Sus scrofa: one gene and its partner. The protein of the gene in region 2 purifies or fractionates together with the protein of the main gene of each other region. This does not show direct contact. Links are inferred from orthologs where the notes say so. Each region holds a gene or a part of one and is shown on either strand. Other genes may lie near its edges.

Region 1 (6,111 bases), on a different chromosome or scaffold from region 2:
GGTCTCATGACCCCTGATTACAGCAGGTCAGTGCAATCCCTGAAAAAAGCACCTGAGACAAGCAGTATCTGCTGTTGGCCTTTGAAGGAGCTTGAGGGCAACTTTCCACCAGGAAAGAGTTAATATAAAGCAAGTCTTATGAAGCAGTCCCAACAGCAAATGATGCAACTCCTCCAGTCATGCCTTGGAGATATTTTGCATTTCCTATTGGAAACTTGTTAAAATTGTATCCATTTACCATAAACTAGAGAGCAAGTCAGACACAGTACACTGTAAATTAATCTGGAATGACTTACACATAAATGTGTTCCAGCTTTGGTGAGCTCAGCTCAAGCAGCACGCGGCTCAATTCCAGACGTTTCCATCCTTAGGAACTAACATGTAATTCAATAAGTATTTATTGAAACATGCAGTAAACGTGGGCTTCTGTGACCCCAGTGAGCAGTGCTCAGAATAGCACTCCCGAGAGTCTCCATATCTGATGTGGCACCCCCATTTTGGTTGGCAAGGTATGATAGAAAAACTGGCTCTTTCATTCCCCTCCACCACCTCAAGTCCTTTCCCATCGTGCACCAGCTGTGCCTTCCCCAGTGAGTACGTGTAATTTTACATGATGTCATGTGTTTCTTAGTTGGTTCTTTGGTCCCCAGTGGGCCACTTTTCAGAGTTTTGGCAGGGACAGTCATTGCATGTTCTCTCTCCCCACTGTCAGCTTGACAGGGTCTTACAGGGTATTGTATTCCAAAGTGGGATCATTTAACCAACTTACCTTCTATTTTTGAATCTTCTTCACTTCTCACACATACCGATAGATTCAAAAACACAGGGCATACTGCCGATAAAAAGCTCCTGGAAGAAGGGTTGGCCTTGACGCAGAGAGAAAGAAAAGGTGAAAGAAAAACAGTACATTAGGGAATCTTCACTTAGTTGCGTGCTCTTTTTTTAAGCACCTACTGTGCACCAGGCACCAGCAATATACCTATGACAAAAAATGGACTGGGCCCTGCTTTCCCAGCGCTCCCAGTCTATTGGGCATTAAGACAAGTGAACCCGCCATGTTTCAACATGGCGAGATAGGGGCTGTAATAAGGGAACTCAAGATGCTGTGGGAGCACCTAGGAAGGGCTCCACCCCAGCCTGGGGGATGTCAGGGGCTTTGTAGAGAAAGCAGTGTCTAGACCAAGATATGAGGGATATTGTATATCAAAGCGGGGAATGTGTTCAAAGCCACATCCTGAGGACTAAAGTCTGGTGGGAAGAATAGACCTTTGAAGAGTTGAGAAGTTCGACATGTTTGGATAATAAAGTGTGAGACAGGAAGAGTCAGACATCAACAAAGAGGAGCCAGTAAGGACACTTTTCAGGATTCTGACTTGAACGCATGGGCCATTGGTGGTGCCCCATTTACTGAGATGGGCGCAAAACACGTAGATTTGGTCTCAAGGAGGGTGGGGTGACAGTGATTCAAGTTTTAATTCACCACTAATTCTAGAACATGAGAAAGATTTTTTTTAATGTTTCTGAAAGATGTCAAAAGCTAATGGAAATTAGGAAAATTAATTAGCAGGTTTAAATGATTTTGTTACTCTAGGCTATCATGACAGCCTGCACACATACTCAGACCTCTTAGTTTCTGCCAGTTGTTATTTCTTCATCCAGCAATCATTTCTTTATTGATACTTCATCTGATTGCTTAAAATTTATCAAACGTGTGCCTGAAGAATGAGTCTCCATGGATGCAGGGCAGTGAGCTGTTGAGGGGCCGTATTCCAGCTTTCCCAGTACTCCTGGACCCTCTTCTGTAGATTTCCTTTGCCAGGTGCAGGAGGCACTGAGCCTATGGCATAGGCTCGGTTTTGAGAGCAAACACTATTTTTTAAAATGACTAGAGAAAAGCGTAATAGGTTAGTTATTAAGGACTAATGAGTGGGCTGTCTTTAGGCAGATGTGTGACGTTCCAGAATTGTAAGTAAGGGTGCAGACCTCTGAAGAAAGATGCTGCTCTGTGAACATGGCTGATCCCATCACTGGGAGCCTGTGGGGAATGACTGATTGTCCAGGGCACTGAGATTGCTTCCGACCCTCAACCCTTGCCACTGCTTTTCATGCTGCTCTAGGTCTGAAATACCCAACGGTGAGCTGTGTAAATGATTCCTCTTTAATCATCAAGCAACCCAGCCAAGAGGGAGCGTCCAGGTTCATGGGGTCTTTTTTGTTTGTTTTCACCAGGAATTTAGATAATGGGCTGTGTGCAATGTAAGGATAAAGAAGCAACAAAACTGACGGAGGAGCGGGATGGCAGCCTGAACCAGAGCTCCGGCTTCCGCTATGGCACAGACCCCACTCCTCAGCACTACCCCAGCTTCGGCGTGACCTCCATCCCAAACTACAACAACTTCCATGCAGCCGGGGGCCAAGGACTCACCGTCTTCGGGGGCGTGAGCTCTTCGTCTCACACTGGGACCTTGCGTACGAGAGGAGGAACAGGTCAGAACCCAGCTGCCCCTTAAGTCTTCTGGCGGTTGAACATTTGTGTTCCTTTGATGAGGGACTCAATGTTTTATGTTTTCAGTCATTCTCCAGCCTCTGCCAGATAAGGGGCTGTTAAAAAAGCCAGAGCCAAGGGGAAAGGGGGAGAAAGTGGGATGGACAGGGAGTTTGGGGTTGGTCAATGCAAAGGATTACATTTAGAATGGATAAGCAATGAGGTCCTGCTGTACAGCACAGGGAACTCTATCCAGTCTCCTAGGATAGACCGTGATGGAAGATAACGTGAAAAAAGAGTGTATATATATATGACTGAGTCACTTTGCTGTATAGCAACAAGTGATGCAACAGTGTAAATCAACTATACGCTAATAAAAAAGAAAAAAATCTAACCCTCCGCCCAAAAAAGCCAGAGCTCAGTGTACAAATCTTGATGCTGGCAACAGTAGTGTGGGGGCCCCCAGTTGCTGCCCTCTGAGATCCTTCGAGGTTACGGGAGAAAACCTGCTGCTGAGGCCCTTGAGGCCAGTGGTGGTGCGCCTTGGCTGGCTGCCTCCAAATAACTGAGCGGCTTTTCCAAAATGCAGATGCCTGAGTCCCAACCCCAGGGCTTTGGAATCAGAGGTCCTGGGACTGTATCTGAGCGTGGATGTTCTGAGTTCTCCAGACAAATGCACTTCTTCCCTGAATCCCACCCCCACCCGCCGTCCCATTCAGAGCATTTCAGGGTGGTGCTCTGCCTCTCCGCTTCCTAACTCCCAGCCTGCCCATCCCTCCAGAGTCCTGGGGCCATTTGGCCATGTTGTCCTTCGGCTGTTCACCTTCATGGGTTCTCTGCTCTTCCCATCATCTTCCACATGACTGACTTTATCAGCCCCATTTTTCATGTATCTTTTTTGTATTTTAAAATCAAATCTAATGTATCCTTAAGGGATCTTCTGTCTCTCTCTTTTTTTTCTTTTAAGATTTCCTTCTCTCTCCCAAGGCTGTGTTTCACTGCCATGTGCATTTGCTGACTTAGCTAATACTTTGGAAACTCTCTGGCATGTGTTCTCAGACATATGTTTTCTGAAATATTTGTAAGTTATCTCATGCATCCTTAGTCTTCCAGATCCTCTCCCAGTATGTGAACCATGGTAACTAGATGTTTGACATTATTTGTTCCAAAATTGGTGTATTTATTACAAAAGTTTTTAAAAATATACATCAACCCTTATGCTCTCAGCTTGTGTGGGAGCAGATGTCCTCCATAACGACCCATTGTGCCTTTTTAGCTGGGGAGTTGCCACTACTGAGTCCTCAGCAATGGTTTTCTTCCTCTACACCCAACAGAGCCGTGTGGTTCTGTCAAGGGGACCTGACCCACAGCTTCAGGCATTTCACTACTTCTGTTCTGCCAGCACATCACATACTGCTTGGGAGAAAAAATGTTTATGTTCATCCTTGCATCCTGGTGCATTATGCATCCAGCTGTCCCTATAAAGCAGGCCTGAAGGGTGGCAGGGTGACTGAGGCCTGGACACCCTTCCTCCTCATCCTTCCAGCCTTCCTGGGAGGCACCTGGGCTGAAGGGCTGAAGGAAAGAGGCGGCCCAGCAGTCTAGGGACGTTTGTCTCTGGAGGATGCAGGAGGGGAAAAAAGCCAGAAATGCACCCAGACCACACTGTGCCTGTTGGGAGAAAACAAGTGCTTTGCCAGCCAGACTCCGATTCTGCTGACACAGGCACTGACCTTGTGCGTTCATGCACAAATGCTCGACATGAATCCTGTGTCTGCAGGTATTGTTCATAAAGTCACTAGAGAGGACTCCTCGGTTGAACGTGGGTCTGTAACACAGTCAGGGACAATGTTCGTACAAGAGGGCATCTGATTCCTTAGAACGTGTGAAAGCCGAAACAAGACCCCCCCAAATGCTGGTGGATGTTTCTGCCTGGGTTATTTGGCTTGAACACATGTGCATGCCTTTCTCCTTCATGCTGTTTTCAGTGCTTTAAGGCCAGGAGCAGTGTCTGTGTCTCCCTGCAGCCTCCTTTGCCTCCCCCTCCAGCCCTAGAGGATAAAAACCCCCAGTGAGGACCTGCTGGCTGCTGCAGGGAGACGTGGGCGAGGGCTGGTATTGTCCGCATGCCCCTTGTCTTCCACACCACGGGGCTTGGAATTGTTTTTAGATTCTGAACTGAAGGGTGTCTGTTCACAGTGTGTTCATGAGGATGGGCATGGCCTCACAGGCTCCCATTCTGTTTTCAGCCAGAATCTTTTTTAATCTTTCAAAGAAATCTCTGAAAGGTTTTGCATTTTTGTCAAACAAGCCCTGCCGCCCTGCACGGTCAGACCTTCTGCGTGCCAGCCCTCCGCAGGAAGGCCCACTTGGGGTTGGGGGGCGCAAGCCCTGCTTCCCCCTCCAGGTCTGGAACAGTCCCTGGGCACATCCGTTCCCTTGGAGCTCCCAACGTAGCAGAACGGGAGCTTGATGAAGAGCAGAACCCACAGCAGGCGTTCTTCAGCCACATGAGGCACTTCGGGGTGCAGGGAGATCAAAGTGAGAAGCCAGAACGTAGAAAAATGGGGTGTATTCGTTATTAATGGCTGCACAACAAACAATCACAAAGCGTAGCAGCTTCAAAAGGAAAACACATCTATTACCCTGCCGTTCGTGTGGGTCTGAGGTCCAGGGATGACTCGGCAGGTTTCTCTGTTTCAGAAGCTCTCCCAGGCCGCAGTCAAGGTGCGTTGGCCAGGCTGCAGTCCTCTTACTGTTCCTCTGAGAAGGATCTGCTGCCAGGTTCATGGGGTGTTTGCAGGACTCAGCTCCTCATTGGCTGCTGGCCAGAGGCCACCCTGAGTTCTTTGTCATGTGGGCCTGGCCAGCCTGGCAGTTTGCTTCATCAGTGTGATCAAGCCCAAGCAGCAGTGCAGAAGAGTCTGGCGGAAGACAGAAGTCACCGTCTTTGGAAGTGGAAGCCTATCCCTTGCAGGACATCCCGTCACCTGTGCCACGTTCTCTTGGTTAGAGGCAAATTACCGTGTTCAGCCCACACTTGAGTGAAGGGATCCTGGGAGGTGGATGTCACCAAGGGCTGTCTTAGAATTCCGCCGATGACATGGAGCAAGTCCTAGGCCAGGCAGGGCACTGGATATTCCTCACTGTCGATAGCAAACCTCTGCACAGCAGGACCGGCCTCTATGAGGCATCTGACAGATGAGAAGTCACAGGGAAGGTCTGAGGAAGGGCAAGGACTGTGATTCAGCACGAGGAGGGGCACGTTCAAGGTGGAAAGAGAGAGGGAGACCCAACGCAAGAGCAGGTGCAACGGCAAGACTCCTCTGACTGCACTGAGCGTTTACGGAGAGGGGCTTCTCAGCACCCAGGCTACAGAAGAGTTTCCTGTTACATCCTACATCCTGTCATGCCAAGGGAAAGAGTGGTCCATCTTACCCAGACCTGATGGGGGCCCCTGCACAGAGACCGTGTGTGGGATAAAGGGTGTCTAATTGCTGCCTAGCTCTGTAAATCTCAACTACCATGTGGCTGCTGCTCCTCGGGCGTGGCCATGATATTGACGTCTGTCTCTTCCCGAGGACTCACCCAAGTGTACAGAGACTAAAGCCTCAACTCCAGGCTTT
Region 2 (5,640 bases):
AGTCCAAAGCCCTGGGGAGATGGATGCAGTGGCTGCCAGCCAAATGTGTGGTCTGTGTCCCAAGATAGAGATTAAGGCTCTCTGTTTTGGAGCAGTGAGCTCTGGGCTAAAACAAGTACAGAAGTACCATAGTATTCACTGAAAATACTGAAAAGGCTCTGAAGGCTTTCAAATACAGGGGGACCAAAACATTTTGACTATAAAAATAAAATAAAGCATCTAAAAATGACTTCAAGTACTCTGGGAGAGGCTGCACACATGGAGTGCCAAAATCAGAAGGAATGAAGCGCGAAGGAACTCAAGCGGTGTCCCCCCCATCGCAGCCCCCAGCCGCTGGGCTCCGATTCCCAGCTGCAGCCCTTTGAGGGGGGCGGGGAGCTGACAAACCACAACCGCAGTTTCTCACCACTGTCAAACACCTGTGCTGAAGGCCAAGGCCCAGCCTTGCGGGAGAACATCCTTGGAGAGAACCATTATAAATCAGATTTCCAGGGGGGGAAAAAGCCATTCATTTTACCATTAGGAGCAGAGAGCCAAAAGGGAACCCCAGCTCCGGAGAATGGCAGTGTTTCAGGGAGGTGAGCTGTGGTTTGTGATGAGAGCCCTTCTTCCGCACTGCAAAGGTTCCTTCATGAACAGGGCGAGGCTGCTGACAGCTGAGATCCTTCCAGAAGGAGCGGGGGCGGGAAGGGCAGTGTGCTGGGGTGTGCCAGGGCCTGGCAGCAGGGTATGTACCTTCACTGTTCCCCAAACTGACAAGCAGCTCTGGAGTCTCCAATCGTTTCCGTTTCCTAAAGCAGCATATAAGGAGTGGCTGACGTCGCTTCTTTTCTGCAGCGGCACTGTCCCCGACAGCTGGTCCTACGCTGGCTGAGCCATCCTCCAGTCTGGCTGCTAGAGCCTGGTGATGTCCCGGCTTTGCTGCAAGTCCCCGATGCTCTCGTAGTCATTCTCCTTTGGGCAAAGGCTGCGGTGACTGCTGGTCTCCGGGGCGGCCTTTTCTTCCTCTCTGTTAAGAGTCTGTATTGCTTCATAATCCGGCTCCGGCTCCTCGCTGGGCCTCCCTGCTGCTGGGAGTGTGCTGACGCTGTTTGGGGTTTTCTCAAAGTCTTTAACTGTAGCATAGAGGTCGTTACAGGAGGAGGGCGACCTCTGAGCAGCCACTTGGATGGAGGTGTAGGTGGATTCCAGTGCTTTAAGTGACTGTCCCGATTTGTTCCCTGACTGTCCTTGTTTATTTACTGATGAGTACATGGCTGAGATCTGGAAAAAAAAAAAAAAACAGGTGGGAAGTGATAAAGAAGCTTCAAGCTTGATTTCTCCCTCCCCCTCCCGCCCCCTTTTTAATGACAAACTAGAGTCTTAAGCATTATTGGGGGGCGGGGGGAATGTGTGAGTGTGTGTGTCCCTTTAAGATTTTTTTTTTTCCCCTATTAGGGCTGCATCCGAAGCATATGGAAGTTCCCAGGCTAGGGGTCTAATCGGAGCTGTCGCTTGCTGGCCTATGCCACAGCCACAGCAACGCCAGATCTGAGCCAAATCTGAAACCTACACCACAGCTCACAGCAACACACTAGGTCTTTAACACACTGAGCAGGGCCAGGGATTGAACCTGAGTCCTCATGGATACTAGTTGGGTTCATTACCATTGAGCCACAATGGGAACTCTAAGATTTTTTTTCTGATTCTTCCCAGGCTTTATTGAGTTCTTACTGACATTTAACACATGTGAGGTTCAGGTATACAGGAGGCTGGTCTGATACACATACTGTGAAGTACTGTGCAATGATTACCACAAGAAGGTTAGTTAACTCCATTACTGCAATTACCTTTTTTTTTTTTTTTTTTTTTTTGGTGCGTGGTGATAAGAACATTTAAACTTTATTTTCTTAACAACTTTCAAGTACAGGCAGTTCCCTCAGTGGCTCAGTGGTAATGAACCCAACTAGTTTCCATGAGGACTCAAGTTTGATCCCTAGCCCTGCTCAGCAGGTTAAGGTTCCAGCATTGCCATGAGCTGTGGTGTAGTCACAGATATACTCAGATCCCATGTTGCTGTTGTCGTGGTGTAGGCCAGCAGCTGCAACTCCGATTTGACCCCTAGCCTGGGAACTTTCATATGCCATGAGTGCAGCCCTAAAAAGACAAAAAACAAAAACAAAAATAAAACCTTTAAAGTATATAATACAATCTTATCAATTCCAGTCACCATGTTGTACATTATATATAGAACTTATAGAAGTTTGACCCTTTTTGACCAGCATTTTCCCATTTCTTCTACTCCCCAGCCTGCGGCAACCACCATTCTGGTCTATTTCTATGCATTTGGCTTATTTATTTATTTTCACTAAATTTTGTTGAGTTTGGCTTTTTTAGATTCCACATAAATAAAAAACATCCAGTATTTGTCTTTTTCTGTCTGACTTATTTCAATAGTGTCCTTAAGGTCCACCCATGTTGCTGCAAATGGCAGGGTTTTTCTTTTTCATGGCTGAATAATATTCCATTAATTATGTATACCTATGTATGTGTGCATGTGTACAAAAATTACATTTTCTTTATTACTCCATTATTGTAATTACATTGTATCCATTCATTAATGGACACAATGACTTGGCTATTGTGAATAGTGCTGCAATGAACATGGGTTACAGTTACCTCTTCCAGATAGTGATTTCATTTCCTTCAAATATATACCCAGAAGTTGGTCCTTCATTATTTGTCCTAATCCTGAAGTACAAAACTAAAGAACAATTACATGTGCTATCTACAACTTGGCAATTAGCATCATTCCATGAAAATCAGATTCCCTCCAGGTCTGCTGAGGGATCTGAGGAGAGCAGGTAGAGTAGGCAGCTCAAGCCCCCCAGGCACCTGACCAGCAGCATCAGGTTTTTGTTTTTTTCTTTTGCTGTTCAACAGAAACTGAAGAAACACTGTAAATCAACCATACTTTAATCATAAAAAAAGAATGATATTTTACCAAAAAGGGTAGAAAACATATACTAGACTAGTGATTTTCAATAGTGGGGGTTCAAACCAGCAGCGGCAGGATCTGGAAATCTATTTGCAAGGCAAATTCTGGTGTCCCACCCCAGAACCACAGAATCACACACTCTGGGGGTGGGACTCACAAGGGCTGATTCTGATGTCCAATGAAGTGTGAGAAACTCTGAACTAGATGATTTGATACACTTTTCCTGTATCACAATGGTTCAAAAGAGTAGTTCCTGGATTCCGGTTGCCAATATACATACATCTGTCAGAGAATCATTTTCTACTGCTCTACTACTTTTAAAAAAATTTCACTGCATACTGTTGGTTAAATAGACATTTACAAGCAAGGCTAAATGTTTTTCATTGGGACCCCTCCTTCCTGAGGGAAGAGAAGGCTGTTTTCCAAGCACACCTACCTACTCAGTCTCCCTAATAAATCTCATATAGCACTCATATCGGGAGAGATTTTATTTTCTTTGGTAATAAAAATAAATGGACTGAGACTCTGAGGGGATACTGTTTTATTGTTAGAAATCATGGTTGGAAGGAAGTAAAAATATCCTTCGTTACCTGTATTTATCTTTGCCGTAGCCATTGGTTTATTCCAACACCCAGGAAATAAGTGAACATACTTGCTGACAGATGCTTGGCTTTGCAAGTGCAGAGACTGTCCTGCTCTCACACGTTTCACATACTGCGGAGGAAGCTTCCAGCTGGCCTCCGAAGCTTCTTAAGTCACGCCTGATGCATGTTAACTGGTCATTTGCATGAGAACTTTTCACTACAGGCTGGTGGCTCAGATTTGCCAGGCCTTCACCAGCCAAAGGTTTCCAGTCAGAGAAATAATTTTTGGGAAACTCTTGCCCTGTTGATCAGACCATTTTCATGACTATCAAATTAACCTTCTCACCTTAGAGGTTTTCCATGAAAAAATGACCTTCAAAATGAAGAATGAGAATTTCTTTCAATTTAGGACTAATAATAAAATAAAAAAACCTCCACTTTTCATAGTGAGATGAAAACATATGGAAAGTTTTATTTAAAAGGTGGTTCAAGCCAAAAATGTGGACAGATTATAAAAGGGTAAGTCATGGATGACTGTGAGAGGGTAGCCAGCATCTCATTTTTATTCCTACTTTCAGGGGTAACATCAAAGACGACAAACACACCTTTACCTACGAGGGAAACAAGAGTGGGTCCCTCTCTACCGTTTCTGGTTTCTGTTTCTCTTCTCTACTTTCCTCCCCATGGTTTCTGCTATTAATGCCTCCTACTTGTTGGGTCTCTTGGCATTTACAGCCTTTTTAATTTTATTTATTAATTTTTCTTTTTCTTTTTTTGGCCACCCCATGGCATTTGAAGTTTCCGGGCTAGGGATCAGATTCAAGCCACAGTTGTAGCAATGTCAGATCCTTAACCCACTGTGCCAGGCCTGGAAGCGAACCTGGGTGCCAGCATTCCAGAGATGCCACCGATCCGGCTGTGCCACAGTAGGAACTCCTATTTTATTTTATTTTACTTTTTTTTTTTTTTTAAATTACAGGCTCTTTCTTTAACTTGCAACTTAACATTACCTCTGGACACGAACCGAATGTGCAGAGGGTGTCTTTGTAAATTTTAACTCTAATCGTTTTTCAAGTCTTCTGATATTCCTTTTAAATATTTGTCTTCTACGACTATTATTTTTATTCTGAAATAGGTTTCTCTTCAAGCCTCTTTGCCATTTAATTTTCCAATTTTTCTTTTTTTTTCATTTTTAAAGTTTTATTGAAGAGTTGATTTACAATGTGAAAATTTCTGCTGTATAACAAAGTGATTCAGTTATACACATACACACATCCATTTTTTCTCAGATTCTTTCCCCACATAGTTTATCACAAAATACTGGGTAGGGTTCTCTGTGTTATATGGCAGGTCCCCATTGGCCAGTCATTCCATATACCTCCTGTACATATGCCAATTTTTCTCCTTAAAATCTTCATTATTATTCAGTCTAAAGTTGTTACTAGGTGCTCATAAATTACTCCCTTTTCCTCATTTCCTTTCTTTTTGTAATCAACCATTTCCCCATCATTTTATTAAATTGGGATAATAGTACTTAAAATTCAAGTCTCATTTTTAGTCTGGACTGTATACTGTTACATTACATGAATATAAAAATAAACAATTTCCATATTCATTCTTCCTAAATCTTCTTAAAATGAGTATGTGGGAATCACCGTTCTTTATTCTGTGTTAAGCATTCATCAGTAGAACTTGGCCCTGTTTTTTAAAAGCCACAAACAAATGTAAGGTAAGAGAAAAGTAATTTAAAATTTTACATAGTCTGGATTGATTTTAAAGGATTAGCTTCTAGGTCTCTTAATTCTACTTTCTTTCTCAAATGGGATGGCTCTGCTACAGTGAAAAATGCTGGCGGGGGCAAAGGAGCTGCCACGGGCCCCGGTGGGAGGGCTCTGCCTTAGTCTCCAGAGGGGCGGCCACAATGCAGGTGGAAAAGGGTGCGGGGTGTGGGTGGGGCGATGCAGGAAAGTTACTTTACTTTTTTATTTATTTTTTTGTCTTTTGTCTTTTTAGAGCCACACACATAGCATATGGAAGTTCCCAGGCTAGGGGTCCAATCAGAGCCACAGCTGCGGACCA

What was found.
Region 1: the proteins of PAG1 (region 2) and FYN purify together in Homo sapiens (co-immunoprecipitation; 3 studies listed by BioGRID and IntAct, with this or other methods). This does not show direct contact. The link is inferred for Sus scrofa from reciprocal best matches to the Homo sapiens genes PAG1 and FYN.

The regions. Positions count from the first base shown.
Region 1 is NC_010443.5:77,638,472-77,644,582, reverse strand, and holds the start of FYN (tyrosine-protein kinase Fyn), read left to right. Parts: upstream 1-2,240; coding exon 2,241-2,487; intron 2,488-6,111. UniProt on the Homo sapiens protein: Non-receptor tyrosine-protein kinase that plays a role in many biological processes including regulation of cell growth and survival, cell adhesion, integrin-mediated signaling, cytoskeletal remodeling, cell motility, immune response and axon guidance.
Region 2 is NC_010446.5:55,606,396-55,612,035, reverse strand, and holds part of PAG1 (phosphoprotein associated with glycosphingolipid-enriched microdomains 1), read right to left. Parts: intron 1,264-5,640; coding exon 895-1,263; 3' UTR 1-894. UniProt on the Homo sapiens protein: Negatively regulates TCR (T-cell antigen receptor)-mediated signaling in T-cells and FCER1 (high affinity immunoglobulin epsilon receptor)-mediated signaling in mast cells.